Linked DNA regions of Astyanax mexicanus. The main gene of each other region encodes a partner of the protein of the gene in region 2 in a complex. Links are inferred from orthologs where the notes say so. Each region holds a gene or a part of one and is shown on either strand. Other genes may lie near its edges.

What was found.
Region 1: the proteins of kelch-like protein 12 (region 2) and pef1 are in contact, whole or in part, in a crystal structure (PDB 8RBH), measured with the Homo sapiens proteins. The link is inferred for Astyanax mexicanus from reciprocal best matches to the Homo sapiens genes KLHL12 and PEF1. Residues at the interface, in NP_067646.1 of Homo sapiens: Phe289, Gln293, Arg320, Tyr321, Leu371, Glu417, Tyr434, Ile439, Phe481, His486, Cys511, Tyr512, Tyr528, Leu533, Cys558; in NP_036524.1 of Homo sapiens: Gly15, Gln16, Ala17, Pro18, Gly19, Ala20, Pro21, Pro22.

What each region holds. Positions count from the first base shown.
Region 1 is NC_064410.1:45,603,545-45,619,660, forward strand, and holds pef1 (peflin), read right to left. Parts: upstream 6,646-16,116; 5' UTR 6,593-6,645; coding exon 6,575-6,592; intron 4,780-6,574; coding exon 4,470-4,779; intron 3,511-4,469; coding exon 3,355-3,510; intron 3,146-3,354; coding exon 3,002-3,145; intron 1,090-3,001; coding exon 860-1,089; 3' UTR 172-859; downstream 1-171. Other genes in the region: gjb9b (gap junction protein beta 9b), read right to left, coding at 8,421-9,239. UniProt on the Homo sapiens protein: Calcium-binding protein that acts as an adapter that bridges unrelated proteins or stabilizes weak protein-protein complexes in response to calcium.
Region 2 is NC_064419.1:47,233,550-47,250,810, forward strand, and holds the start of kelch-like protein 12, read right to left. Parts: upstream 7,192-17,261; 5' UTR 6,857-7,191; intron 4,429-6,856; 5' UTR 4,362-4,428; coding exon 4,179-4,361; intron 1-4,178. Other genes in the region: adipor1b (adiponectin receptor protein 1b), read right to left, coding at 12,652-12,780, 13,888-14,081, 14,230-14,417, 15,552-15,738, 16,532-16,703. UniProt on the Homo sapiens protein: Substrate-specific adapter of a BCR (BTB-CUL3-RBX1) E3 ubiquitin ligase complex that acts as a negative regulator of Wnt signaling pathway and ER-Golgi transport.

The DNA.
Region 1 (16,116 bases), on a different chromosome or scaffold from region 2:
ACCTTCCCACTACTCTTAACAGACCCAGTTTACCCACAAAAAAGGAAATAAATAAACCAAATAGTAAACAATACATGTTAACCCTAAATTATATATTTGTTTTGTAGCACAAACATTACATTTACATTAGAATCTGTATATAGGAACCAGACAGCACAATTAAATCACATCTCCATTAAACCAATTGGCACTCAACTTTATTTGACAAAAAACAATCTTCATAAATATTTTGGCACGAAGCAAAAAAAAAAATATTGGTCCTTACATTATTGATAAAATGTTTCAAAACAACATGGCAGAATAATATAAAAGAACTTACACTTTGCTCAGACATCAGCAAAGGTTGCAATAGCCCAAGTTCATGCATAAGCATCCTGCCCACAATCAATAACTGGCTTAATTTAGCACAAGTGGTTTACTTATATGCAGTTTATAAAGCTGATGAATCCCCAAATGCAGTTAAAATTTAAAATAATGCAGTTAATAAAAAGGTGATCTACAAGAGACTAGATAATGCAATTTTACCTCAAATAATTGGCACTACCGGTACCATTTCTAATAGAATAAATCTATGGCACATCCCCAGGTTAATTACAAACTAAATGCAATTTGTTAGCATGTTTCTGTAGCTTGCTGTTTAGTTTAATTGGACACTTTAAGCGATAACTGTAGACCTTTGCAGACTAAGGCCAGTGCAAATATACAAGACACGTGCGGTAGGTGAGGTAAGTTACAGTGAAAGGCACTGTAAACAGGGATATAGACAGTGGAAACTGCAGTGCCAATTTGGCATCAGCAGTCAGTGGTCCTCTTTCACTGTAGGAATCACTCAGCTCTAATGGAATCTGAATGCAAATCTTCACATGAGTCGTGTGATGGCACTTGACAGAAAGTCCTCGTAGTTCATGCGTACGTTGCCAGTCATGGCGGTGTCCTTCTCACGGAATGCTTGGGTCATGCTCTGCAGCTGGGTGCACACCTGGATGAAGCGGTCGAGCTGGAGAGAATTATTCATGCCACGGACACAGTAGCGACTCACAAGGGTTTCAATGAACTGAGGGCTCATGTTATAACCCATCTGAGAGAGTGCTAAGAAAAGAAGAGAGATTCATAGATTAGTGCATAATGTTCATAGTGGTTGCAAAATAAACAGCAAATTCATTTTAATAAAATCATAAATTAAGCAATAGGGTAATAGGGCAGAGTTTATTACTGGCTTTATTTCAACAAATCCGATTTACAGGTAATGCAGGACTTTAAAATAATCTTTTAACATGTTATAAAATACTAGAGCCAGACTTGTTGCTTCTGAAATCACTAGGACCATGGTCCAGAAACACAAATGTAGTAAATATGAGCCGGTGCTCCCATATTAGTCTTATAAGAACCTGAAACAACTGCTATGTATTAGTGCAGATCTGATATAACAGCAGTAGAGAGTGGACTTATTACTCCCGTACAGTATACACTACCTGCTAATATGATTGCATGTCTCCTTGTCCTAATGACTGTTCCAGTTCTGTCAAACAAATATTACTTTGGATAAGTAAATAGTTCCTGCCCATTTTAATCCAAGCTTGCACTAATGTTGTGATTCATGTGTAAGCAAACCACACTATTACACGCTACAGGATGATAAGTGTGGGATGCATATGTCTAAATGTGTGTGCAACATACATGACATGCTGAATAACCAACAAAAAAATAACTTCAAAAGCCATCAAATTTCAGAAGAAATGCACACCTATTTAACAGAAAAGTAGGCTTCTTTATTTTCAGGAACTTATTTTTGGTCTCCCTCTATCACTGCTAATAATTAATAAGGAGGAGTTTAGTCAAGTTATGTCATATACATATTGGGGAGTATATATGGATGCAACACTATCCTGGAATAGTTATATGGACAACTTAATCTGAATACAATCCATTCATGTTTATACCACAGTCAGAAAACACTTGTCCAAGCCCATTCTGAATACAAAATTTGTGTGCAATCCTTTAAATTGAAGAATAACAGCCATGAAAAGACCTGTATCCAATTACATTCCTTTTGTAAAGTACTGTATGTTCTGCAAAAAAAGTCTATTATTGCTGGAGTAGGGTATGTAAGAGCAAGATATGTGGGGGCAAGATAATCTTCCTTCAGGTGACATTAAACCATGAATGTCCACCAGTCTTTCTGGACACCCCATTCAGGTTTTGTGTCATAGAACTGGCATTCAGCACATGTGCTGAATTGCTGCTTGTTGATTGCTGCAGGACATAAATATCTCTTTCTCTTGCCACTTTTCTAATAAAGTTATGTGAAGTACATTTTTTTTTCTGACTCCAACATAATTAGAAGCAATTAAAAAACAAACACATCAACTGACAACACTGCAGCTAGGCCTGTCACGATAACAACATTTTTAGGACGATATATTGACAGGCCAAACTGCAGCTCCTTTTACTCTCACTGGACTCACATAAGCTCAGTCATGGCAAAATGGACACTAAGTGGTACTCTACACACAAGCTTCATTTGGAATTGGAATACTTGTAGAGAGCATGCAAACTGAGATTTTCATCAGACTGTTGAGTAGACATGTAAACATGTCTTAATACATAATGATAATTAATTTAATAAAATTAGAGAAACAATATTACTTAATCAAGTATTAGAAAATAAAGGACATCTATAATACATTTTTGGTCTGGTGAGTTTATACTTAAAGGTACATTCTGTAGGAACTGAGAGCGAGTGTGTGAAATAGCTACAGCCCGTATTTAGCGTTATATTGACTGTGCCCTGCACGAGGGAGAGCCGCGGTTGGAGGGGCTGTGCCCCGCAGTCAGCAAAAAAAAAAAAAAAATCACAAACAAAAAAGACAAAAAGCTGAGAATGGGCCTCTAGCACATGTTTATAGACATGGCACCCACCTCTAATGCACATTTAAATAGTGGCTAATAATAAGCAATTAGTTAATTTCTGGGAAAACAATACACAGTTTTTCCTTCTCACCTTGGTGCATCTCACTGCTGTTGATGGAACCTGAACGGTCACGGTCAAACTGATTGAACACTGCTCGCCACTGCTGCAAGTACATCCATAGAGCTGAGAAGCCAAATACATCCATACGGCCAGATTTGGTCTTGTCAAACATGTCTATAAAAAAAGAGGGTGAGAAATAAATAATAATTTAGTATAATAATAATTATAATAACATAAATCATTATCATTCCCCTATATCGATAAGCTGTTTTATTGCAGTACTAGCAAAAAATAGTAATATTTTGACCAAAAAATATGCAAATCAGCAATGAAAATACAGCATGCGAATTTGACTATATTAAAACATTTAAAGCAGCACTTACTGAGCATCATTAAACAGGTCTCATCATTGAAGGCTGAGTTGTTGGAGTTGAGGAGGGCCTGCTTCAGTTCCTTAAGGTTGATGTGGCCACTGCGATCTGTGTCAACGGTCTGAAACCACTGATAGGCTTCAGGGTTAACTCCTGGTGGCATGTTACCTGGAATGCCAAAATCATTCAAGATATGTTGTCATATGGCAGCTACAAAAAACCAATGAACAGCTCAAACAGATCTGAATAGATATGAGTTTTCTAAAAAAACAAACTTAACATTGGCCATCTTTTACAATTTACACTCTGGTTACACCTGGTTAGGCTAATAAGAGTGTGTGGCAGAGCTGAACAGAATTAAACACTCAGATGTCAGTGAAGTGATGGTCATGCCCCAATGATATTCTGTGATATTCTGGCCCCAAGAGGGACTCAGACCTGTCAGTTTGGGATGAACCCAGATGGGCTGTGTCTCCCTGGGGAAGGATAATGATTGTGTTAAAGAGCCATCCTGCGACTCAAGCCCCACAGGACACAATATTACACACTCTCCACTGTAGAAAAACTCATAATCTCTCGCACACAGTCACAAAGCATTATCATGCCCATCACTCTAATTCCGCTACAGGCACAACCTGAACCAGATCTTTATAAGATGCAGCTGCCAAGATTCTGGACAGCAGTCAGGCATCAGTCATTCAGTGAGGGGCAGATGACACAGCTGCAGTAAAGGGGATGAAGGACCTTGTCTGCAGCACCTTCATAAATTCTATTTTTTTCGTTTTTGTGCACAGCCCTTGGCCACTGCAAACATGATGGAGAGGTTGAGGCTGCGAGTGTTATTTTGTGCCCATAACCTTGATGCTCACACAGACATCATCAGCCAGTTCAGACAGGATCTGCTGTCTGCCATGGCGATGAACAAGTGGAAAAAATTTGGAAGATAGATCAGGGCCCAGGGCAGTGTGATAATAACAATGAGGTAGGAAATATAGCTTTATGTTTAAAAAAATTAAACATGACATGCCAATACAGGTCTCAAGTGACTCAAATGGATTTCCATTATAAAAGAGCTAAGCCTGTTCTGAACATGATTAATATTCCTTTAAACAGCATGAAAAGTTTACCTGGAACCTGCTGGCCATATGGTCCTCCTTGAGTTTGTCCATAACCTCCGTAGGGACCTCCTGGTGCCTGCCCATAAGGTGCTCCAGGTGCACCACCAGGTCCTGTTCCGAAATGTCCACCGGAACCATATGCTCCATAGGGTGCTCCAGGGGCAGAACCACCATACTGTCCACCTGGTGCCCCACCGTATGGGGTACCTGCAGGTGATCCTCCATAGGGCCCTCCTGTGGGACCACCTGGAGGTACACCAGCTCCATAGGGGGCTCCTGGATGCTGATGGGGAGGGTTAGTCCCTGGTCCTGGATATCTCTGTCAGAAAAAGAAATTTTTTTTTTACTCTGTCGTGCATATAGAGGCATACAAAACACATACAGAAAACCGGTTTTAATTTCCCCTTACGGTGTGCACTTTTTATATACCACCATACTGCTAGATGTTCTGCGGAAGTGCTGTGTGGAAGAATTATTCATTTAGAAAAGAGACGAGTGGAATTATGCAAATGATCCACAGCTCAAAAAAAAAAAAAAAAAAAAATCCCCTGACCAGCCCAGAATGGGTCCTGGTTCCGGAATCACTTAAAGACTTAAAGAGCAGTATAGCTTTTTAAATACTGTAATACTGTAGCTTGAAGGACAATATTAATGTTTGAAATGTGTGATGTTTTATTTGTTAGCTGGAGAAGCAAGGCAATTGTGACTGATAAACAGCCATTTTAATACTTTAATGCCTTGACATCAAACATAACATGTTGTAAACTGATAATAAACTTGTGTCTTCCTTGTGCAATAGAACATTTGAGAAACATCTGTTGGAATATCTAGTGTTTTAGGTCCATTTATAGTGTGTATAGAACTGTGTTAAGAGATTTAGCTAGTTTTGAAAAGGAAGCAGTGTTAAGGTTGTTGGCATATTTCTATACAATAGTTCAATAGTTTATATTCTGTATCTGTTTTCTGCAAATGCAGACTGATTCTTTCATATAATGTGTCATTTTGTGGGAAAAAATAAACCACATACACTAAACAAAGCCTTAATTTAAAGCCTTGTTAAATATTTGTTATATATCAGCGTTCATACACTTTTAAACCAATACATTTCCATGACGTTTCCACTGCTTCAAGGCAAATATTCATGACCATATAAGTTTTACCTTTGAGTTTGGAGGTCATAAATAGGAATAATAATATATTAGGAAAATCTTTTAGTTTATACTTTTGGTCTATTATGGTAAATACAGGAGGTTTACTTTGCCCTACTTCAAGAAAATGAAGCGAATTGGACACATATCAAGAGAATGATGATTTTATCCCTTTAGAATCGTAAATCATACTAGACTTTTACGTTCTTTTACAAATTGCTAGTGATTTAATTAGTCAGCTAATAACAATCCGAAAGTGTTTAAGTGTTAAGCAGTTTACAAAATGAACTATCTGCATCAATTTATTAAATTTATTTATTAATTTATTTATCTCTTGTAACTGACACGCCCCCAACTGGGAAACTCTGGGCTTATCTAAAAATCACACTAAGTTTACCACTGGTAAATACGAGTTTGTGGTGGCCTTCATGTGCTAAATACGATCTCCTAAATACGATATTTTCGACACGACTTGAAGGCAGCATTAGCCACAAACATATGTTTAAAAAAGCAGTCTTGCAATTAAAATATCGTGTTATAAAGTTACTGTAACACCGTCAAAACAGTGATATAGATTTTTGGTCATACCGCCCAGCACTAACCTAAGCTAGGGAAAAGCAAGCATGTTTATAGACAAAATGAAAATACATTGTTATACACTCGTTTCAGAAAAGTCACAACCAGTTCCACATCTAGACAACATAAACTAGTTAAAACTGTCTTTAGTTTCCTTAAATTACATTTCAGGGCATGTCCTGGTACTACAGCACAGACTAGCTAGCTAGCATAGCTAACTAGCTAATTAGCTGCCAGGCTTAAGTACAGCTCAAGTCTACGGTAAATAGCCTATTTCTAGTTACACAGGCGTTTATCTGCCTTTTATTGAGTTAAAAGTTAAAGTATTTAAAGCTAAATCTACTGAGGAAATGTAAAAACAACCATTCCCCAACCCGGAACCCTCTCTACCTGTCCGTAGAAACTCATCTCGCTGGAGAACTTCGCTCAGCCTGCCCACGACTGCGTCACTAAGGACCCGCCCCTTCGCCCGGATTGGTCCGTTTCACTGTTTGTCATGTTCAGCGCCGCAGTTCTCCCCTCTGATTGGTTAAAATAATGGAAACTTGATGACGTTCTACACCGTGAGTCATGCTCACTACACAGAAATAACGAGATTTCCCCACAACATGTATCGGTACAGGTCTGTGTAAACTACACACTGTGATGTGAGTAATAGTAGTAAAAGTTAATTTAATCTCATTATTTTATGATACTTTTTAAGGTAGTAGTTGTGACTTAGTAGCTCAAAGTAATTACTAGTAATTACTAAATAATGAGATATTATCTCAAAATAATTACTCACTATCTCAAACTATTTTTTTACTATCTTAATATTTTAAAATAGTATCTCAAAATAATGAGATAGCAGTTTACATAATAATACATAATACAAAAAGAGCTGATTTTTTTAAATTATTAATTTAGTGGCAGGAATAGGCTTTCGTAATAATATGAGGAGAGGAGCAAAGATGATGTGATATTTTTTATGTAATGGTTAAAGCTTGTATCACTTCTTAGTATGTTCTTATGTGTAAGAACACTTCTTGTGTGTATGTTTTATATATATATATATATTTTAAATGTTTGTTAATTGAATAAAAATATTTCACACATGTTCTATTTTGTATTTTGTGGTTTTCATTGTTGTGAAAGAGTGAAATTACTATTTTTAAATTCTCTATTTTTGTAGCTGAAGATAAAAAAAAAACTTTTTAAACCTCTATGGCACATATTTTTGGTTACTACACCTCTCCATACCATATTTTATTTAATTATATATATATATATATATATATATATATATATATATATATATATATATATATATATATATATATATATATATATATTTATATATATATATATATATATATATATATATATATATATATACATTCAAATTTAAGTTTGCTATATCCACAGGAACTTCCAAGTTTCCTAAAAAAATGTTTACCATCTTTTTAATCAGCTTGACCATCAAAGACCAAAGTACACCATCTGAAAGATATGTGTGGTATTAACCCTAATAAAGTGACAGAGCACAAGTTCTTATACAAAATAATTTTTTTTATTGATAATTAATTTCTTACAAAACATACATATGTACATGCATTTAAATTTGTATATATTGTAAACATACAGTCCTGAATAATAAACACAATAATTCCATCATTTTCCAAAAAAATATTGTTTTTCTGGATTTTTGAGTGAATTTAGCATTTTGTTGGTTTACTATTTGGTGTTACACAAAACAGGACTTCACATTCAGTCAGATAATTTAAAACCGTATGTCTTTTGCTACTGTATAGACTTTATTTCAGTTTAAGTTATCTGGCTAAACACAGAAATCAGAAATCACCAGAGGGATTATATAAACATGTTTCTGAAAAATGTTTAAAATGTTTTCTATTATTTTCTTATGTGTGCACCAGGGGGCAGTAGGTACCTTTAGCAAGAAAGCAGGGGCCTTCACCTTACATTCTGAGGTAAACTGCATGGAAGATTTTATGTAACAAAAAATGATGAAGCTCTTTTTGTATAAAAAGACATTAGCCTAACAGCACAGCCGAGACTACTGCGGAGGTCTTAGCCAGCATGAGGTGGACCCTTGATCACAGAAATCTCTTTTTGAGCAGCAGTCACACAATCCTGTTATTAGGTATTCCTCACATGCGTCTGCATGAGTATTGTCTTTTTAAAAATTAACTTAACTTTATAATCTTTAATTATGGTCTGTCATGTTAAATCCGAACTTTCAGATAACAGAAGCACTCATCTCAGCAGTGGCCTCCTCTTTCTTGATGTTGCTGAGGTTCTGGTTGGACGAAGCCGTGGGGTCCACTCTGATATACCTAGCTCTAGATCGAGAAACAACATTAATCTCATTCTGTTCTGCAGAATACAAGAGCTCTCTCTCCTTGTGCTCACGGTATAGCTTATGTGCACGCTTGCACACCAAATAGATCATCTCTAAGATGCACATGAAAATGCACATAGAAGAAGTGACCACCATGAAGTAAGTGAAGATCTTCTTCTCAGTTGGACGGGAGATAAAGCAGTCCACTGTATTGGGACAAGGAAACAGGCTGCACTTGGACAGCCTGGGCATGTCAAATCCGTAGATGTGGTACAAGACGTAGAGGAAGGCGCAATCAAAGGATGCCTTGAATATCAGACTGAGGAGGTAGGTGTACCACAGACCCCCACGCTTCTTTCCAGGGTTGGAATACAGGGCTTTGCCGTCTTTATGTAAGGCCTTGTACTTCTCATTCTTCTGTTCTCTATACCTGACATGGGCCACCACCAAGAGAGATGGGCAGGTTACAAAGATCAGCTGCAGAGCCCACAGGCGGACGTGAGAGATGGGGAAAATGCTGTTGTAACACACTGTTGTGCAGCCTGGTTGGGCTGTGTTGCACAAAAAGTCTTTGGCCTCGTCCCCCCACACCGGCTGCGCAGCTACCGCAAACACCAGAAAACGGAAGACGAAGACCATAGAGAGCCAGACACGCCCAAAAACCGTAGAGTATTGGCTCACTCCACCAAGCAGAACCTCCAGGCTTGTCCAGTTCATTTTTTAAGCCAGAGGACAGCAGCTCCTACAGTAGAAAAAAAATTTAGTTAGTTTAAATATATTATTTTATTATATAATGTTATATACTTAGATCACTATAAAATCTGAGCACTGTGCTGTAATTTTCGAGATGAAACAGTACATATACAAGGGAAGATATAAAGTGTTTTTTTTTGTTGCGATTTTTTTGTTGCAATTAGTTTGAATTACTCTAACACCATGAAATAGGTATTAAACTGTCCATCCATCTATCTGTCTGTTCCTCCATCCAATACTTTTGGGATGAATTGGGGTGATAATCCAATTATACTGACCTCACATTAAAAGCAATCAAATCCTTAAAGCAATGCTCCAAATTTGTGTAGAAAGCTTTCCCTGGACTGTACAAACAGTTACTCGCAACAAAAGCAGGATAAATGATTTATAATAACCTTAATTTGGGAGGAAACAACGAAGGGTAGCAAGTGTCCCATAAAGTTGTTTATAGTGCATATAGTGATAATGGTTTTGTAACCATTTATTTTTTCAGCTTTTTCTTTTGTTCATGGTGTAATATACTGCTCAAACTGCTGTACATTATAAAAATGATAAACAAGGCTGACTGCATTCAATCCTGATTGTGTTTAGTTGACAAAACCTCATTATCAGTTAAACTAAGGGGGCAATCGCTTTTTTACATGGCCAATTCTTATCATTGAAACAGATGCCACTAATATACGTGGATATAAAAAGTGTTCACACGTCTGAACAAAAAGTTCAACCTTTGTTTTTACAGACTATAACATATTTTTCACATGCCTTTAGGAGAGTTCACATGTGTTTTTGCAAACTTTAGCTGGGCTTGGATGATTTTCTTCTTTAAGAGGCTTCCGTCTTGCCATCCTACCCCATAGCCTAGACGTATGAAGAATACAGGCTATTGTTGTCACATGTAGAACACAGCAACATGCCAGAAATTCCTGTAGCTCCTTTAATATTTCTGTAGGCCTCTTGGTAGCCTCCCTGACCAGTGTTCCATGGTATATCTAATGCCTTGAACATTCTTTTATACCCGTCTCCAGACTGATGCCTTTTGACGATGAGATTCCTCTGATGCTTTGGGATCTCTCTGTGGACCGTGCCTTTTCCTGTAAGTGGTGACTAAGAAAATGCCAGGGAACACCTACTATAACAGCTTAACTTATTTGGGATTAATCACAGACACATTAAATGACTGTAGGTGTGTACTGATACCTGTTTGAACAAAGCCACACCCTCAGTTATAAGAGGGTGCGCACACTTATGCAACCACACTATTTTCAACATTTTCAACAGTACATTACATTACATCGCATTACATTATATTTGAAGATGAACTGATACATTTAATGGGACATATATGTTATAATATACTGACATGCAAAAAGTGAAGTTGTCTTGTGAGTGAGGACATAGAATGCCATTCCAGCCACAGTAGACAGTGCAGTGGGTGGTAATGATCATGACAGGTGGTACCTGGCTAGAAGCAACTCTGGCAGAAATCAACGGGCATAGCTAAAGTGCACTGTGCTGTAATTTTCGAGATGAAACAGTACATATACAAGGGAAGATATAAAGTGTTTAATACACCGATATTGCAAAAGGCATGGGATGAGTGAGTGAGGCATTACCACCTACAGTAGACAGGACAGTGGGTGATATTGTCATGATCGGTGGCATCTGGCTAGAAGCAATTCTGGCAGAAATAACTACAGGAGAACCCACAAGCATATCCTACAGGTCAATACTGTGTCTTCAGCTTCTACAGCACATGCCAAAGTCATCACACACAAGACTATTTCTTAGTTGTTGTGTATCTTATGGCTATGTGTCAAAAATGGAACAAAAAACATATAAGCCATGCTTAAAGCTTGTTCAGTTAAAAATAATAAGCAATAGGTTCCACTCTCTGACTTTCTGTTTTTAAGCACACTAGCATTTTTATTTTATTTTATTCTATTTTATTTATTTATTTTTCATGACACACATCAAGGATACTGAATCCAATTAAAATCTTTCTCAAAGCCGAAGTGGGATGCATCTCAAGTTCCGAATCTTCTAGGTTTCTGTTTCGCTGTCTCTGCCTCACAATGTCAGATGATTTCCCAGAGGCTGGGATGGGGCTGGCTCTGCTTTAGCAGAAAGCATGGATGGAGGGGGATCTGTTTCTCCTTGTTTGTGCCTTATTTGTGCTTGACAACAGGTCTACACTTAGTATTCACAAGGGTGACTCTGTCTCCATTTGAGCGTCTATTAGCGTGCGGCAGGACATTATGTGCTCAGCAATTTCCAATGAAGTAACTTTGGATAACTATTTAAAAGTGGTATTTACCTCGCTGTGTCTGAAAGCTGTGGGAGGAAAACAGCTTCTTAGAATGCAGACGGAAGTGATTGTGGCATTCTGTGTGAAACACAAATGCTAGTCTGGACTTGCAAGCTGACAGACGTTGTTTTGGCTCGGCTTCAAATTCTACAAAATGTTTTCTTAAGGATCCGGACATCTAATCTCTGTTGCCAATCGACTTTTTTTTATGGGTGGCATTCTCAGACACCTTATTAAAAAACTAAAAAAAGAGAACAAAAACCCTTTTTTATGTTTTCTTTTCCACTAAACTAAAGGAAAATAAGTAACTAATCTGTATGCTCCTTTAATGCTCAACACAATCCCACTACTGCGTTTAATTTTGTAGATAATGTGTTTTGAGCAGCTCTGTGATTCCTCAAAACCCACAAGAAAAAAAATATATTTCTGTAATCCTTTTAACAACTTCTTTCTCTGCTTTTTTTTTCTGTAGATCATTAATAAACATACACTGTTTGGGGAAAACTATCAAGACACTTGTTTATTCACTGTTGCTTCTGAAATATTTTAATGTATTAAAAAAGGATTGATCATGCTTTTGTTGGAGAAAAAGCATGTTTCTACTGCCCATGGAAGGCTTTCTACTACATTTTGGAGCATTGTGTTGAGAATTTCATTGCACTCAGCATCAAGAGTCTTGTCACTGAATGCAACTATAACAAGTCACACTATAGCAACAGGTCTGCTGGATAACAATATAAAATACACCATTGCATTACATTTTACAGTTTACAGAACTGTAAATTCTACCAATTTAAAATGACAAAGCATAAAATATGAAAATCCTACCTTTATAAGGTTCTGAAAGAGGACATGATGAGGGCACAACCACAAAGCTCCAGTGTTTGTTCCTGATGCAAACTAACCTGGTCTCTGATCTCTCAAAGCTTTCTGCGATATAGGACAGGTGGGTGGATGCTTCCATATCCAGTTTGACAACTTTGAATAAAAAAAAACTGAGATGTTTACTTCTGTTAATGATGAGAGTCAAATGAAAGAGTCAAAATGAAACTTAATCCAAATTTCACTTTGAATAGAAAGTAAAAGAGTTTTAAAACCCGTCTGTCAACACATTCTCACCATCAAAGAGTTACAACAACACACTGTTATTGTATTGCCAACCAGAGCAGCTGCAAAAGCAAAAGCAAGGAGTAGAAAATGTTCTAATGTCTCTTGCTTTTGTGATTTTAACAATAGCCTAAGGAATGCCTTTGTTTTCTTTAAGCAAATGAAACTGTGCATACCTATCAGGTCATGTGTCTTATTCCTCAAAAAAAGGTCATATAATATTTTGTAATCACATGTCAAAAGCCATGGGACAGGTACCATTATTAGATCTAATGTCGTTTGGCATGACCCATGGAAGTTAAGAATGCTGCAATGACCGGCTGGATATGTGTGTGGATCTGATTGTTGACATTTCTGAGTTGCTGCTCTGTTTGTGTGGACAATTCTAGTCAGTCAATGCCGGTCATGATCAGTACCACTCACTGCCCTCTCTACTGCTGGTATTAATGCCTTCTGTGACACATTTCCAGTACAGAGGAGTGTGTACACACTGTGAATGAGGAATGCTAAATATTTCATATTCCGTAAATTTCCCATATTTCCACTGTCAGGCCTCATTTAAAGTATAATAAATGCCATAAGCATGCCAGCCAGTGTTCAGTCTTACTCACAAGAGATCCCCTTACAACTTACAGTATACAGGTGTGACCTTTTCAAAGCCATCTTCACCAATAGTCAAAAGTCTTTATGATCAATTTATACACTGCTATCCCGTGACATTTGGCATGTCAGTATAATGTAGCTTCACTCACTAGAATTTTAGTATTTTTAACTTTTTTATTTTTCTACTAAAAAGATTTAAGAAAATGTATTAATGCTTGCTTGTCTGTATTTTGTGTTAGGCATTATTTTATATGGACACAATTTTAAAACACTCAACGTTTGCTATAAGATGCAAGCAGCTGGGATGATATTGGCCACAAAGATGCAAATTATGATATTTGAATGTAAATGTGTGTGTGGGAGGGTGTGTCCTACTTCCTACAATATTTGTACAAGTGAGTAAGCAAGAGAGAAAGGGTAAGAACAGAAGAGAATGAGAACTTGTGCTTTAAAATGATTTTTTTTTTCCAATAAAGGAACACAAAAGGTCAAATATCAAGTCCACAAGTGAAACCTGAGACATTCTGATTTGCTTTAAGCAAAGATTTCTACAGGGGTTGGATGATGAAACTGAAACACCTGGTTTTAGACCATAATTTATTGTCCTGACATCCTCCCGTGATTTGGGCAGCCGTGGTTTTAAGTTTTTTGGATACAATCCGGGTTGGCACCCGAACATCCCTTTCAGACAGCTTCTTCTTGCATCCACAGTTAATCCTGTTGGATGTGGTTGGTCCTTCTTGGTGGTATGCTGACATTACCCTGGATACCGTGGCTCTTGATACATCACAAAGACTTTCTGTCTCGGTCACAAATGCGGCAGCAAGACGTGCACCAACAATTTGTCCTCTTTTGAACTCTGGTACGTCACCTATAATGTTGTGTGCATTGCGATATTTTGAGCAAAACTGTGCTCTTACCCTGCTAATTGAACCTTCACACCCTGCTCTTACTGGTGCAATGTGCAATTAATGAAGATTGGCCACCAGGCTGCTCCAATTTAGCCATGAAACCTCCCACACTAAAATGACAGGTGTTTCAGTTTCATTGTCTAACCCCCGTATATGCCCACTGCAATGGAATGAAAAAGAAAAAGAGAAAGTAAAAAGAAAAGAGAGAGCAAAAGAAATAGAGAGAGAGAGAGACAGAGAGACACCCAGAGACATACTTCAAAGAGTACTAAGCACAATATCACTGCAGGCCATGAGGGAAAGGACAGAGCAGGTGAGAGGACAGTGTGATTTGTGTTTACGCTGCATCATTTCTTTCTACCTGAGGCTGGTGGTGCCATGGCTACAGCGCAGTGTGCTGTGGGTGTATGTGTAGGGATTATTGGCAGACTGTTCCAGGGAGCCTTGTGGGGAATAATTGGGTACATTTTCACCTCACTGTCACAAGCAGCTGCTCTTTTAAAGTTTAATGCTCCACTCTGTCAACTTCTTCTACTTTGTACCAATCTATGTGTCAGTGCACGTTTAGTTTTATATAGTAAAATGTTTGTATATACAGTAGTATGTACTGTATGTAGTCTCATAGAACTTTATGTAGCAATGGTACACTGACGTGTTATATGAATGTATGGAGTCTCTGTCATTCCACTGCTGCTACTGCACTATGTAACTTTGGTATAGCTATTAGAAATAGCTAGCTTGTTCCTAGAATAAATAGGTCAGTAATAACTTGTTAGATGCTCACTTATCTCGTGTAGCTTGATGTGTTTATGACAGACAGAGGCTTAGCTGCTAGTTAGCTTGCTAGCTATCTCAAGATGGTGCTAGCAAACTAGCAAGCTAGATAAACTCTTGGCCATTATTACAGGTAATTATTGCTACCTTACTAGCTAACTGTTAGCTAGCTTACCACACAAGTTTAAGTTGTGGATGTGGATTCCCAAATTAATTTAGCTGACTTTAACTGTTCTTTTCATGTTCTTTTCATCTCCTGTCATTCCTATAGGCTGCAGTTGAATGTTGGCAGTATGTAATGTGGCATGCATGTCAATAAATAAATGATACATGCATAAATAAATGAATTAAAATAATTCTGAGCATGCCTCTTTACTACAGGACAAGGTGGAGCTTAAAGTGCTATTCGTATTAAAGACACTAGTCTTAACTAAAAATGCAAAACTTTAGCAGCAAAATCATAATAATTAAAAAAAACCCTATGGCTTTAACAGTCTGGCTTGCTTAACAGCTGGCTTGCTTAAAATACTTTAGCGAACACTATACCCACAGTTTATGACATAAATATAAACAATATATATATATATATATATATATATATATATATATATATATGTGTGTGTGTGTGTGAAGACACATACACTCTACAAACTAAAGGTTTTAAGAAAGTCAACGGAAAAAAATCACATAAGTGAGTAAAAATAAGAAAAAAAATTACATTTACATTTACATTTAGCTCTGGTTTCCCCAGACAGAGATTAAGCCTAGACTTAGACTATCTTTCCTTTAAATCGGCATTCAATATGATGTGTAGCCCAAAACTAGGCTTAATCCCAGGCTTAATCCCAGTTTTGAAGTCTCAAACTAGCTGAAATTCTTGAGGTTCGACACTTTAATTAAAAATGCTGGATATAAGGGTTATTTTTTATTTATTTACTTATTTCTCAGACAGTAACAATATGTAAGTACAGACATACATATTCAGGCTACACAATTTGCATTACATAATTTTTTTCTATTCTTTCCTTCCTGATAATAAATGATGTAGAAGTGCAGCGGCTCTGTGCCTTTGTCTTTTTGGCCTCAAAAGTTTTACAAAGAAATGCCATTAGAATTAAGATTCTGAAGGGCATATCGCTAT
Region 2 (17,261 bases):
GATATGATTTAAGGTGATATGACCAATATTTATTTTATTATATATGTTTGATTAAGGATATAGGCTATATTGTCAACAGTAGGGAAAAACACTTTCCAATGCATGTGTAATTTAAGATAGCATAATTAGTTATGTTTAATAGTAGTGCATCTCAAAAGAAATGTTTAATATTGTTTAATTAACAGTCATCTTTTGTATTAATTATGCTTACAGTGACACATCTAACAATTTATATTTTAAGTTTTAAATTAAATATTTTAGGGATTTATTATTTCTGTTTTTTTCATGAGCTTTTAGAAAAGTAAAACAAAAACAGTTTTGGGATATGTCTCTTTATATGTAGTGATTATAAAATTTGACAGATTTTTTTTTATTAAACTATGATAGAAAAAAATTCATTATATTCAGGTTTTCTGAGATGCACTAGTAATAGTGTGCCAAAAACAAACCCAATAAATATAAGTGTGTGTTAATGTTTGTTTTATATAAATATAAAATAAGTAAATAATGAATACAAAATATAACAACTTTAATACAATCATCTTTCTTGTCTTCATTTTATATTAAATAATAATAATAATAAAATGTAGATAATGTTTCCAAAATGTTTAATTGTATTCATATATTAAATGCAATCATGTCTCAATTTCCTTATTCTCTTCCTGCTTTTGTATTCCCCAGGGTTCATTCTTCCGAACTACACAAGTAAACCCCATTTTATGTAATCTGTGCTGATTCTTTGGTTTATTTACATGTGCAATGTACTATTTTCCTTTAGTTGATTTACATGTGTTCTGTACTTTGTTTTTCTGTATGTAGCCTCTCTATATTCTGATATCAGTCTTTAAAGTTATATATCATCTCATGTTTGTTGTAAAAATAATAAAGCTGTTGCAAATAATGTGGTTCCTCTTTCTTAATCCAAATAATTCTGCATGAAATATTCAGGTGGTGACTTAAGAATATTTGCAGATCTTTGTATCCTTTGATTAAATTATTTTTGCAGTAAACTCTAAATATATGCAAGCCAAAACTTCTCCATCTTCTTTTGAACCTAAAATTTTACTTGTAGCGACTGCATTTGCACAGTGTCATGAAATTAATATTAATTAACATACAAATTTAGCCTATAAAAACTCTCTTATGGATTACAATATTGGATTCACACAGAATAACATAAGCCTTAAATAAGTCAATATATGGTCACAATAATCCTCAATGAATTATCTATGTATAATATATATATATATATATATATATATATATATATATATATATATATATATATATATATATATATATATATATATTATTTCATTATACATAGATAATTCATTGAGGATTATTTATATATTATTATTAGTGCCCCAAAATCGCAATTCTGTCTCTGTGTTTATGGGCTCAAATTTCCCACCAAGAACTTCCTGGAACTATCTGAAATCTCCATGAATCACGTGACCATCAAGGATTTTGAACTTCCGTTGTCGCGACTCTCTCTCTATGGCTCTGGTCCAAACTACGGCCCGCGGGACATTTGCAGCCTGTTTCCTTTTTTGGAATGGTCCGTGAGGTATTTTAGAAATAAAATGAAAGTTGACTCGCTATTAATCAGGTTTTTATAAATGTGAGATTTAAAGTTTAAACGCAAGGTGTCGCTATCTCATAAACCCAAATTTAAACGCTCATTATCTCCTTTCCTTCCTTTATTATGCCTGCATTAATGTTCCTGGCTTTTGAGAGAACATGGCAACTCCACAGAAATGGAAAATCGACAGCGAATTTAGAAGATTTCAGATGCATTAGGAAAATTACTATTTTGAACTAGAGTTCAGAGGGAAGTGTGTTTAATGTTTAATCTGTCAGGAATTAGTTGCCGTAATGAAGGAGTATAATATTAAAGAGACATTATGAAACAAAACATCAATTTGAAAAATCTTAATTTACACAACACTGTCAAAAATAAAGATAGTCAAGTCAAGTAAAATGGTGTGTAAATGATAGTAATTAAAATATATATTATTATAAGTAGTAAATTTCATTACTTGATTTATTACAGTCTGTAAGTCTGTGGCCCGTGACTGCACATATATTTCTCCTTCTGGCCCCCAACAAGAAAAGTTTAGCTTTTGGAAAAATTAAAGCATTATTGTTTGAATATTATTATAGTTATTGATGTTTTATTATAGTATTATAACCTGCAATGCTGACTCAAGCAGTTGAGCTGATTAGGTTTTGGGAGAAGCTGCTTCTTTCTGCACAATTCCCTCATTTTCTTTACTTTGTACCTTTTTATCGGGTGAAAAAATACCAACAACTCCAAACTGAAGGTAGAATAAAGCAGAGAAGCTAAATAAACTTAAGATTCTGAAGTATTCTCTTATTCAGAACATCAGTAAGATGATCAGACAGAGCTTGTCTGAATTTCTGTTTAAATTTATCTCAAACTGATCCACAGACTGTTGGTCCACCAACCTGTTCCACTGCACCCACTAGTGGATGAAGATAGGAGCACACTTTAACAAATATAACAAACATCACTCAATTTCCTTTGCCCCAAATCATTTCATACAGAGGAAACATGTGAAATTCTAACTATACAATTACCATTTAAGTACTTCTCATTATCTGGATTTTGCTACAATTTTGGAAGTGATTTTTTTATTTTATTATTTCAGGGATGCACCGAAAGTTCAGCAACTGAAATTATTAGGCAAAGAATGGAGGAACAAAAGCACTTTAGGTGTTCAAGTCAGAACATATAATATAGAACAATACTGTGCTTTGTTACTATGTCTGATGGGAAAGTTACAAATGTTATTGTGCTCAATAAATATGTTTAAACTGTAGTTTTGAAATTACTTTATCATTTAGGCTATTTAAATTATGCAAGGTAAAAAAAGGCAAAATTATTAAGAACTGACCAAATTTTTGGTCACTTTTAAAAGTCCAAATAAAATGCAACATCTATTGTTCTTGGTATACAAGTATAAGCACACAATATGGCCTGAGGACATTTATTATGAAGGCCACAATAGCAGCTTAGCAACAACGGCTAACAGCTAACTGTCCGAGCTGAATTAATAGCTGTTTTTTAATAAGAGGTCGATGTCTTTGTGCTGGTTGGATTAGTAGGTTCTGTGGTTTTTATTGCTGCTGGTATCTAAGGCTATGTTTACACAGCAGGTAAGAGTGTCCCAAATCCAATTTTCTGACAAATTTGATATTTAGTTGAGGCTGTTCACGCAATCTTTTTAATTTGACATCTGTATGAACGTTTCTAGCTTTGTAAGTGGCACGCAGTGCAGTGCTTCACGTTAAGTTTCACTTTAAAATATATATGTTAAGTTTCAAAGGTTTTCACTCACATGTACACCTGTACTCTGTGATTTGACAATATAAATATTGAATCTTGAATCTTTATTTGCAGCAAAAATCTTAAGAGCTATGAATGAGTTCAGACTGCAGCTGAGTTTATCACTGAGAATTCAGTCCAGCTCACTGAATAGGTTTTTTAACCACGGTCAGGATTTTATTTATTTATTTTCCTTTAAAGCTGCAGCCATGATCTATGGCCAATTTATTAGAAACAAATTGTGACTGCGACAAGAGGCGTCTAATAAGCCGTCTAATATTTTTAAAGAAATGCATTCATCTAAATGTAATAAAAAAAAATAAATAAATAAAAAATGTCAGGTTCAGTGTGTTATTTTTTTTGCTGTTTACACAGCCACACAAAAAACACACCCGAGTCTCATTTGATGCAATAGATAGGATTTTGGGCCACTTTTACATTCTTTGTTAATGTAGCCTATTTATGTCATGCTATGATTTGGTGATTGCGGTTACCTCACTGGTGAAGGATTTTATTTATTTATTTTCCTTCAAAGCTGCAGCCATGATCTGTGGCCAATTCATTAGGAACAACGTGTGACTGCAACAAGAGCCATCTAATAAGCCATTCAATATTTTTAAATGCGTTCGTCTAAAGGTAATAAAAATCAAAAAATAAAAAAAAATGTCAGGTTCTGTGTTTTTTTTTTTTTTTTGCTGTTTACACAGCCACACAAAAAAAACACCTGTGACACATTTGACGCAATAGATCGGATTTTGGGCCACTTTTACCTTCTGTGTTAATGTAGCCTATTTATGTAATGCTATGATTTGGTGGTCGCGGTTACCTCACTGGTGAACATGGCACAGAAGTAGTCGCTGCAGGCGGCCAGGACGATGCGGTGGGCGGGGAAATCTGTGTTCTCCACCCTCAGCGTGATGTCACACAGCGTGTTGCTCTTCCTCAAGGCGTTCATGGCATTTAAGATGGACTTGGCATGGGAGTTGGTCATGATGTCTTTGGGCGCCATGGCAACTGGCGAAGGGGGAGAGCGGCACGTCCACAGGCAGTGCAGGATGATGGAGCTCGACTCGGGTCTGTGATCACAAAACAACACAGACTAAGAGCTCTGAGGATAATAAATACACTCACACACATGATTAATGGTAAGAATAATAACACATACTGAGACGTGCCTCTATAACAAACATAAAAAGACATATGCAATTAAAAGTTAAAAAGGCTACAGGTAGATTTTAAATGCTCTCTGAATACAGTTCTAACTTTGTGTACACTATACTACCAGTACTAACTGCTCCTATATGTGCTCCTATCAGTAAGGCTGATAAGATAGACAGTGATGATAAATAACATTGGACATAATATTCTGATACGACTGTGTGTATGTACAAATATATCAAAAGCAAAACACATTTTTCTAAAAGCCATAATGACTATAAATGTTTAAATATTAAAATGTAAATGTTGATAATATAATTTGTGATGTTCTACGCTGTTCCCTGTTTCAGCTGCATATATGCCCCATTGTAAATGTATGTATTTTAGTAGAATGTAAATATATTAAAGGAAGTTTAGTTGGACTGGAGTTTATCTGGAGTACTCTCGAGTCTCTGCACGGATCATCTTCATACTAGGTTACATACGTCTGCTATGTTCTTGCTGGAGTGTGCGGGGCGTATGGTGTGCAGTTGTGATAGATCACAGTATAAACCAATAGGGTGTCGAAATGATTTATGTTTATACTTCTCTACATCCAATCACAATCAGATTCACTCTATCTGGATGGAGAGATTTATCTGGATAGGGTTTTTATTGAACGATGAGAAGCCGGAATGAAAACCAGCTAAAATGATTTATTTTTTTCCATTTTTTTAAATCAAATGTAAGGAGTAGACAGTTCAGATAATTGTGTAAAAATGTAAGAAGTAGAAGTAAAAAGCCAACTGTATAAATACAAAGAAAAGAATGCATCAGAAAACAATGGAAAACATTGCAATGAAAAACATTTAGTTAACTTCACAGTAAACTGTAGTAATGACACAAATCTCATGAAAACACTGAGAAAATACCAAGAGTGTGCAGATATGTCCTTAAAGATAAATGTGCTACTTAGAGGAATCTAAAATATAAAACATATTCTGGTCTATTTAACACTAAATAATTCAGCATGTGTTTCTGTATAGCTTTAATACAGTCTTCAATATTAAATTTACAATGTAAAAAAATCATAAAAACAGAAAAGCAGTGGCTAAATTTGCTGAAATATTGCTTAAAAACATGAGCAGATAGCAATGTGTAAATTAGCTAGCTACCTAACTAACCTTTCTAAATATATATGAAAATAACAAACATGTTTGTTCACACAAGTTGTGAAAAAGCACATTATTTCAAGAGCCTAGATAAAAAATTACATTACATTAGAAGTAGATATAATAAATCATAGTACTTTTACCAGTTACATTTGAAGGTAAATAGTTATTTTTTTACTTTTACTTACTGAAGTGAAGGAATAAAGAAAGGACTTTTACTGTAACATGAGTAATATTTTACCTAATTTAGCTTAGCTAGTTAGCTTACATATCTCTACCTGGTGCAAATAGTGCTAACTAAGCTAAGCTAGCTAGCCCAAGTTAGTTAATACAGCTAGATATCTTAAAACAACCCACGTCACTATTTATTACTATAAACTGCCTTTATAAAGTTAAACCTGCGGAAATTCCTGGTGAACATGGGCACTCTTTAGTAGCTAACATTAACTAGCGAGATAGGTAGCATTTGTGCTAGGTTAGCAAGCTAACAGGCTAACTGGCTAAACACCGTTTCTGGTCATTTAAGCTAAGCTAAGCTAAACTAAGCTAGGTATTACCTGGATCCAGTTACAGTTAACAGTAGATACTCCACCTAAATATCTACACAAACTGAACACCTTTCTGAATATATGAAAGTAAAATAAGTATTTTCCCCCCAAATATATGAAAAAGAATATTATATCCACAATCTTGATTAAAAAGATAAAGCTACTTTATTACTTCTACTTGGGTACTAAAGTGGGGGAATAAAGAAAAGACTTTCTGTTACAGGAGTATTATTTTACCTAGCTTAGCTTAGCTAGTTAGCTAACGCTAGCTAACCTATCTCTACCTGGTGCAAATAGTGTTTACTAAGCTAAGCTAGCTAGCTCAGGTTAGCTAACGTTAAATACAGCTAGATGTCTTAAAATATCTAACCAAACTATGTATTATGTATAAATTAGTATCTATTATTATATTAGTGCTAGGTTAGCAAGCTAACATGCTAATACTGTTTCTGGCAATGTAACGTTAAATGAGCCAAGACAGTTTTTACCTGGATCCAGTTAGCACCAAAGCTAACAGTAGATAATTTACCTTAATATCCACACAAACTGAACACCTTTCTGAATATCTAAAAGTAAAATAAGTATTTTTGCTCCCAAAAGTTATGTAAAGGCACATATAATAAAATCCAAACCCTGGTTAAACGTACCGGCAGCAACAGCAGCAGCGGAGGAGTGAGACCAGGCGAGCCGGGGCTCCGTGTGCTGTAAGCGGTTAGTCAGCGCTGCAGCGGCCGCCCACAGAGCTTCATACTCCAGCCACGCTCTCAACCTCCGCCCGGTGCTCAGAAAACCACTAAAACAAGGCAGGAACCGGCGCCCTAGCTCTGAATACTGCAGCATATATATATATTATTCCCCAGTTCTCGCTGAACGCGCTGAGGTTTGAGTTTTTTAAGTTATTTAGTTAATTAAAAGCTGAAGTTACTCCGGCTGTATGTTTTTAATGCAGGGCTCTCACGTCCCTCAGCAACACGATGGCAACCAAAACACTGATACGCCATCACGTACACGCCTGACGTGCTGACGGCGGCTCTGGTAACGCCCACCATAATAATAATAATAATAATAATAATAATAATAATAATAATAATAATAATAATAATAATAATAATAATAATAATAATGATAATAATAATAATAATAATAATAATAATAATAATAATAATAATAATAATAATAATAATAATAATAACTCAGTATAGTTCCTAGGATCCTGCAAAATTCCTTGTTTTACGTCGTATCCTGTAGGTGGAGTAGCGTTTAAAACTGGAACAGTTAAAAAAAAAAAAAAAATAATAATAATAATAAAGAATTGTATATTGTAAAAAATTCTGATAAAATTATGGTTTAAAAAAGGGGTGTTTTTTTATCGTGGTAACATGGTAACAATGAATTGGTTAGCAGCTTACAGCTGGTAAGTATCCAAGAAAATAAAATGAGCTTTGGGAAATGGATTTAAAATAAATGTCAATTTCCGAAGCTAGAAACTAACTAGCAAAAGACACAGAAACACTTTAACTGTTTAACTATTAAAATTAGAAGTCTTTTCTTAAGAGAAAATACAGATGAAACAGTGAGTACTGTTTCCTACACCTTCACAAGACTCGTTGAAAATGGTCTGGCTGACCCACATGGCAACAGCTTTCGCCTTTAGCTCAGTTTCAGCAGGGAGGGAAGGGAAGACTTTCTCTTGAATGGATTTTCTTTTGTTTTTCTAAATTGTAGTTTTTCATGAAATCTGAATTTCAGGGAAGATAAAAAATATATTTCGACTATTAGATTAACCCATCAGATGTTTGATAGAAACTAACAAAAATATTTTTTACTTTAGCAAATGAAAAAAAAATTGTTTTCTTAACTGACACCGTTACACTGAATAAATTGATAACATAATGTAAAGTGATTGGCCAATGAGACCTTGGTCTACGTTTGCGCCCTCTGGTGGATAAACTAGATAATCCTATTATCACATTATTACACATACAGAGGAATATTAACCTTCACTATGAAGACGCTTGTTGCTGCATGTTCAACTATTAATAATAATATTTTCTCTTAATATTTCATAATCATATGGTCTCTGTATTGAGCGTAAAGAGGTAAAGCTTAACTTTTAGTCCAGCCTATCGCTGCACAATATCACAGTAATTATTATAATAATAAAATTTAGAAAATGTTTTAAAAACAGAACAACAATAGTCCCCATAACTGATTTAACATGTCTGCAACTCTGGTTCAACCACCAGCTTCTGAATATACAGCTCTGGGAAAAAAAGATACCACTTAAAAATGATGAGTTTCTTTGATTTTACCAAATTGAAAACCTCTGGAATATAATCAAGAGGAAGATGGATGATCACAAGCCATCAAACCACCAAACTGAACTGCTTGAATTTTTGCACCAGGAGTAAAGCAGCATAAAGTTATCCAAAAGCAGTGTGTAAGACTGGTGGAGGAGAACATGATGCCAAGATGCATGAAAAACCAGGGTTATTCCACCAAATATTGATTTCTGAACTCTTAAAACTTTATGAATCTGAACTTGTTTTCTTTGCTTTGTTATTTGAGGTCTGAAAGCTCTGCATCTTTTTGTTATTTCAGCCATTTCTCATTTTCTGTAAATAAATGCTCTAAATTATAAAAGATTTTTATGTGGAATTTGGGAGAAATGTTGTCTGTAGTTTATAGAATAAAACAACAATGTTCATTTGACTCAAACATAAACCTATAAATAGCAAAATCAGAGAAACTGTATCTGTATTTGGCGTGTTGGTCTGGAAATAAGGTGTATTCAGGAGTATTGCCATCTTGGCCACAGAAAACATACATGGAATGATTTTTTTTTTTTCTTTTTTTTTTCTTATTAGCTACCAAGGCAGTTTTTAAGCATTTCTTTATAGTAATTTCTTCATTTGAAAAAAACACAATTTGTAATTATTTGGTCAAATTGTTTTTTTTTGCTTAAGAGATACATCTTGACCAAATTATTGTACAGGAAAACATCAAACATCCAAAAATGTATATAAGAAATTTCAGTTCACAAAGTGTATTGGTCACAAGAAAACATTTACAGCAGATAAAGACATTCACATCTTATTCCTATTCCCTTTAACATCTAAGAAGTGGGACATAAACGTCCGTAGAGTCCAGAACCTGTAGGTATCACTCCAGGACACGGAGAGTGATCACCCGGCGGCGTAGAGGAGGAGAGAGGTAGTGCTGTTCAGCTCTCAGTGCAGGATGACTCTGAGATGAATCTGAGTCTGTTACGATGGACGTTCTGAACCGTGCACAAACATTTAAAAGGAGAAATCTGGTGTGAAATGGACTTGGGTTGTAGTGAAACATAAAAATGAGTATGAACTTTTGTTGAATAGCCCATCTCCATTTTTCCCCTGCATTCAGAAATACAGCGCTTTAGCTGATGCTCCCAACATGCTTACAGTACCAGTGATAAGGGCATAGAGTTAACCATTGAATAGGAAGGATAGGGGAACAGGATTGGAAAACTAATTTCCGTGGAAATCCATTAATATGATATAGATATATTTTTAGCAATTGCTGGAATTCATGCATGCATTTCCGCAAAAATATATATTTTTTCAATCTGTTCCCCTATCCTACTTATTCGTTGGATCGAGAAAAAGTGTACAAAAATTGTTTTAATAAACTAAATGAAGGTACTGTGTGTATAAACAGTGTTTTAAACAAATATCTGTGCACTCTTAAAGCTCTCAGTGCCTCGTTTTAAATATCAGGGCCCTCAGATTTCTACCAATGAAGTGTGAAGCTACTTTGAGTTTGTTAATGCTATAAAAACAAAAAAGCCATTTCTTGCATTTGCATGAGTAACGCTATGCCCCTATCACTAGCACTGTAACTTTGCATTTACACTAGAACGCATCCCGTGTTTGTCCTTGCAGGCGTTTGTCCTTGGGTGTTAAATCTCAGTGCATGCATGTATCATGGTCCAGCTTCCAAAAAAAAAAAAAAAGAAAAAGAAAAATTGCATTGCTTACAACTGCTTTGTATTGGCCCTACAAAAAATATTATTTATTAAATGCGTGTTTGAATTAAATATGTATTTGGTAACTAATGTTAGATCACTGAAATGGTTACAAATAAATTGATTTTAATAAAACATGCTAAATGTTTTTTTTATATTTAACATTTACCAGGCCTGTCACGATAACATTTTTTTGTGCACAATATATCGTCCCAGAAATTATTGTGATACACGATATTTGTCATTTTAAGACCATTAAATGCCACTGATATAAATATAACAGAATGGAATGAAAAAAGCAATCATACCCTTTTAAAGACAACAAAATTTAAATTAATCATAGTTTGGGAATAATACTTATTTCTTCTCTTACTGCAGTTCACACTGTGTGGGTGAAGTCACAGTTATTAAAACATTGGTCAGTTTTTGAAGCAGTATTGACTAAAATTCTGTTCACAGTTTTATATATGTAAACAAGCATACAAATTAGCACAATAGACGATATCACAATTATCAAATATTATTAAGGTAATGTCTATTTAATGTACGATAAATCGATAATGTAATTATTGTGACAGACCTAACACTAACCATCCAGTCATTTTTAGTCGCACTTAAAAATATACATTTTGGAGGGAAAATATGGTATAAATATGAGGAATCGCTTGGCCACTTTATTCTGCAGAAATGCGAAAGGAACCAAAAGTTCCAAAGAAATGCTAAAAACCAGTCGGGTTAGAATGTCGCTTCAAAGTTGAGGAAATTGTCGCTTGTGTTTTGCTCGACACTCTGCTGCTTCTCACGTGTCGCAGCAAGAAATCGCACCCTATCATAGGAATGAACAGGCACCTGTTGCTTTGTCGCTTTCCAGTGTGAACGCAGGATTAGCCTGTTGGGAGCATCGGCTAAAAGCGCTGTATTTTGAAATACTGGGGGTAAATAGAGATGGGCTATTCGACAAAAGATCATACTTGTCATCATGTTTCACTACAGCCCAAATCCATTTTATACAAGATTTCTTATTTAACTGAGCTCTGACATTTTTTATAAATCACAATTTTTAAGTAATCATGTTCTGTAAAGCCTCATTCACACACAGTTTGATTTTTACAAGTAAATGTCAAGTTTTTAAAATGACTGAAACTGACTGACTGTGATGGTGAGCACTAAATAAAAAAATATCAGAATCAGAAGTAAGTATGTGTAAGTATGTGGCGGTTTGGAGCCGAAAGGCTGGGGAATTATGACGAGAAATTTTGACAGACACTTTATGGAGTAGTCATTTTACATTTAAAAAGTATTTTTAAGTCTAGGAGCGTCTGAGTCTTCTATGTTCCATGAAGAAGCATAACTACACTAAAAGCCCTCAATTTACCTCAATTTATCTGTTCATCTGTCCTATCCATTCGCTTCATCTCATAAGTCGACTTATTGAGGTACTGTTTGTATAAACAGTGTTTTTAATAAACTATCTTTGCACTTTTAAATCTCTCAGTGCCTCGTTTTAAATATCAGGATCCTCAGAATTCTAGCAATGAAATGTGGAGCTACTTTCAGCTTGTTAATAGTGTAAAAATGACCATTTTTTTGTATGGGTTACTCTATGCCCCTGTCATTAGCATTGTAAGCCCTTTGGGAGAATTGGCTAAAAGCGCTGTATTTTAAATACTGGTGGTGGACGGAGGAGGGCTATTCAACAAAAGTTTGTACTCGTCATCATGTTTCACTACAACCCAAGTCCATTTTATACAAGAGTTCTGAGATTTTTATAAATCACAATTTTCAAGTAATTATGTTCTGTAAAGGCCCTTTCACACACAGTCTAATTTTTACAGGTAAATGACAAGTTTTTAAAATGAATACACAGATAATTATGGTGTCAGAAATTGACTGACTGTGATGCTGAGCACTAAATAAATCAAATCAAAATCAGAAAAAAATAGAATCTTATACTCGATCGATGTGGTGGTTTGAAGATGAAAGGCTGGGGAATGATGGCGAGATCTTTACAGACAATTTACACACATTACAGGAGGAGTAATTTAAAGTTTAAAAAGTATTTTTAAGTCTACAAAAGAAGAGAACTTTACTAAATGCTCCCCTCGTTAATGAGCACTTGTGTGGAGGAGTTAATTATGCAAAAGTGGACAAGGAGCAGAGAAACAGAAATCGTGGACATTTATCAAGAGCTGTGGAGTTTTGTTATTCGCGTCTGACCAAAAAAAAATGCGTGAAAAAGTGTGAAAGGGCTTAAATACTCTGTAAATCACTTTACAAACTTTATAACTTATTCACTAGAATAATTTAAAAGAATTAATATTTGATCATGGTTCAGTGTGTGGTCGGCGGCTGGTCTGGTGGTCGATGGCTCTTTCCCAGCTGTGGCTGATTCAGGGAGCCACAGCTGGATCGAGGAGACAGGGGAACGGAGTTGTTTTAGAGCAGGGAATTGTCGGTGCAGCCGCCTCCCAGACCGTAGCGGAACTCCTGCAGGTTGGAGATGCCGTAGAAGTGGATGAATGCTGCAGCCACAACCAGTACATGGAATATCTGATGGGATTGAAACTGTAGGAAAAGGAGAGGAAGAGAGAACGAGTGAGTGAGAAACAGAAACTGGGTTTTTAATTTTTTTTTTTTTTTTTTTTACCCAATTTTCACATAATTTTATCAGAGCCAGTTAATGCCATGTTTATAATACACAATTTTAGACCAGTTTTCCATTCGCCTACAGTTTTTTGGTAGATGTGAACTACTAATAATGCTTTTTTTTGTTGCCCTTGTGGTTTTATTATTACTCATAATATATTAAATGAGTTATTAAAATTTTCTTGCACTTAAAAACTCAGATTACCATATTTTTTTCACTACGAGGCCCACTTAAAATTCTTTAATTTCACCAAAAATCGTCAGTGCACCTTGTGTATGAATTCTATCAGTCAGGTATTAAGGAGCAGTAAAGCCACTCTACTGAAGTACAGAGTTATACAGGAGTTTCAGTTTAGTTCTCCAGCAGCATTAACATTACCTGCTAAGCGCTAGCTCTTTGGCCGTCCAGAGGTGAGTATTATCTGCCTGTAGCCTGCTGCTAACCCTGGCTAGCACTGCTGGAGCAGCATTAGCATTACCCACTAATTGCGCTAAGCGCTAGCTCTTTCACTGTTCAGAATACTTTATGTTATTCTATAATTCGCATAATACTTTTTAATTATAAATAGATAGAAAAATAGATTTTTGTATTAATCATTTAAATTGATTAGTTTAAATAACTATGCTTTTTTCAAGTAAAAAGAAAAAGTGTCAAAAAGCCTGATAAATAGCGGGATTCATTATTATTATTATTGATCATTACAGGCACTAAAAAGTGCAGAAGCACTGCACCGTTAAAATAGCAACTGCAGCTGGGTCTAAAAGGGAATGTCAAGTAACACACTGATTGGTTAATTTCACATTAAGCCCAAAACACTCCCATTATTAATTAAGAGAATTAGTACATGCCTTTTGTGCATTTCGAGCTGCGCAAGGTTTACTTTTCCCTTCATTACGATAGCAAAGACACACTGACACGCCCTAAGTCAAGCTGCACGGTGCACGCTTAACAGCTCACCTATATATAAAACTAAAACAGGGCCCTGAAAATGTTATACTTTTAAACACTCTGCTTTAAAAGCTTACCCAGATGTCACATTTGCCAGGGAAGAAGCGTTCAGGGATGCGTGCAGCGTAGAGTCCAGCTCCAGTTATGTACATGGCGCCCATCAGGATGAACCAGCCCATCTGGCCCACTGTGGTGGCCTTCACAAAGCCCTCAGCGATGGTGAAGTGCATTGTGGGAATGACGCCGCTCAGCCCCAGGCCAAGAAACACACCTGTAGATACAAAGACGACTCACATTAATCCCATGTGTACGAGTTACACACAGGGTTGTGTGTATATTATCCACACATGTGGGCTAAAGTGTATGTAAAGAGTGTGTGTGTGTGTGTGTGTGTGTGTGTGTGTGTGTGTGTGTGTTACCTGCACGTGTAGGCCGGTGGCGCGGCGTGGCGAAACGGTCCCACTGTGCCACAATAATGGCAGAGATGCCCAACACACACACCACAGAGAGGTAGATGAGCCGTGGTTGTGGGGAACAGTAGAAGGAGTAATAGAGCCACGGAACAAACGAGCCCATTATCAGCAACGCTATTCCAGAGTAATCCAACCTGAACACACACAAAAAGAAACAGGACGTTTATAAATATGTTACCTATCTTATCCCAAAGCACAGGGTAATGCATGTCAGGCACAGACTCTTTAAAAGCTGTGTAAAGTTCCCTACAGAACTCGGTCTATCCTTTACTTTAACTCATAAAGTGACATATAACCTCCTGAACATCCTGAGAGCATCACTGCAGAACAGTGTGTGAATCTGTGTTCCTTAATATCACCTTATTAAAAGAATGTAGCTCCTTTTAAAAGTCTACATTTTGCCTCAACCCACCATTTTAACAATTAACATGCTTCAATTAAATGTTTTATGTTCCATAAAACAAGCTCTGACCTGAATTTTATAACAAAATGTAAAAAAAGGCATTTATGTTACTGTTTTAACTGTAAATATTTACATTTGTGTGCCTGCAATGATAAGAGAAAAACACGAAATGATCTTGCTCACTGAATTTGGCAGATTTTATTTTAGTTGTCGGAGATATTACAGAGCTGCTTTATTCTACAGATTAAATATTGCAAAAGCCATTTTCTGCACAAACTCATAAAATGATCAGAATATGCAATCAAATATTAAGGAAACATGTTAATATTGGCAATGCATTTCATAGATGGAGAAACTTGGAACCCAGAAGGACTACAAGACAGGTGCAGAGCTGTTTGTTTTCTTCTGAACAGGTTAGCACCACGGCTGCATCTATCAATTATTTTAGTATCAAGTATTCTACTGAAAATCCTTCAATTAATTGAGTAATCAGACAAAATATATTTAAAAAAACGCCTAGTTAGCACAGAGCTTCAGATAAGATAAGCTAACGTTAGCTTGGTGTGCAGCTGAATTATCAGGGTGTGCAGTGAGTATTTGAGATAGGTAAAGGTTGAGCTGCTGTCAGTCACGGTGGACGAGCGGACGAGCCACAGCTTATTTACTTACCTTAGATGCAATGGGAATATAGAAATAAATAGACAGAAATCAAAATTCTGACTTTATAATAGCTCAATTTAGACACAGGTGTTATTATACGCTGCCATGGACTTGTTTTAAGTTTGTTTCAGTGTCCTCAATTTTACACACCTGCTCTCAGTTAGAACATATTGTTCCTTTAAAAACAAAAACTCCAAACCCTCACTTTGAGAACGTTCTGGAGACTTTCTCCGAGTGGCAGTAGACTGTGTGGAAGAGCCAGGAGAAGCAGAGACAGAGCACCGCACCCAGGAAAAACATCCCAAACACCACCTTCTCCTGCAGAGGAGCCATGAAGGACACGTTGGGCCGCAGCATGGTCAGGGTGCCCAGAAACAGGAACAAAATCAGACCTGAAAACAACAACATGATCTTAAATATATAGAAACACAAAAGAGTTCTCCATGCTTAAGGCCCAATCCTATTTCACCCCTTGGCCCTAGCCCTTACCCCTAGCCCTCGTGCACATCAAGGGGTAGGGGTGTCCTGATTCTTCTTAGGCTGGAGGGGTACATTAGGGGGAAGGGGTAGGGCTTGTTAGCCCTTCTTACATAGATTTTTCAGATGCACATTTCAAACCGAGAGGTATTAGGATCACTGGTAAGATGGCAGATCAAGCAACAAAATAAACCCACAAATTTCAATATTTTCCCTGTTAAAAGTGACTATTAGCATTATATTACCATAGTTTAATGTGTATTGTCAATGTTTTATGGCTGAATTCTTCATAACAAGCTTAAAAAAAGATAGTTTAGTAATAGTTTGTCTCAGTAGCTAGCTAGCTAACTTTCCCGTTCCACCTTAAATGGAGCAACAGATGGCATAAGCTGCGGTATTTAAGGCGGAATAAAAATACAAAATAAAATAAAAGCTGATCAAGGCTAATTTCAGCTCTCCATCACAAAGGAATAAACAATAATAATTCGTTTCACCTGGGGAGAGGTATCGAGGGGCGCAGCTACAAATGAACACAGGTGAAAACACTTAGGTGGAGACACGGGAGAAACACACAGGGACACGTGCAGGGGAAGGTAATAAAACAACACAGAGACAACCAGGAAAGACACACAACAGGACAAGAACGTGACAGTTCTGGGGGTATGAATACTTTTGCAAGACATTGTAAATGCAGCACTAGTTACTGACCAAGCATATGTGACCAGATGTTCCCTGTTTCAGTGTGGATCCTGAAGATGCTCCCGAAGCAGGCTCTGAATGATGGCATGGGCGGCCGGTGGCCGTGAAGCAGATAGTCGTTATCTTTCAGCCAATCAGGAAGCAGCTGGTACGGGATCACTCGCCAACGCCCCTCCCACACCTGGATAGAAAATATGGTCAAACATAGGACGGCTAGTAACGTCTCATTCCTGTTTAGGTGGATCTGGAATACGCAAAAATGCAGATGATACCATATTAAGATAATAAAACCTGTTTACATCTGGCATTAACATGCATCCTGTGTGATCCAACAGCAGATGTTTGAGGAAACTCATATCCATTCACAGCTTGTGATTGTATTTCTCTAATTAAATTAGCTGGAGGCATTTTAACATGCTCAGCTAACCCAAACAGACTGTGGATGGTGTGATACTGCATTTACCGTATTTTTCGCACTATAAGGTGCATTTAAAATCCTTTAATTTTCCCATAAGTATATATAAATTCTACCAGTCAGGTATTAAGGAGCAGTAAAGACACTCCACTGAAGTACAGAGTTATACAGGAGTTTTAGTTTAGTTCTCCATTCAGAGGTGAGTATTATCGGCCTGTAGCCTGCTGCTATCTCCAGCTAGCACTGCTGAAGCAGCATTAGCATTACCCGCTAACTGCGCTAAACGCTAACTCTTTCGTCATTCAGAGGGGAGTAAATCGGACT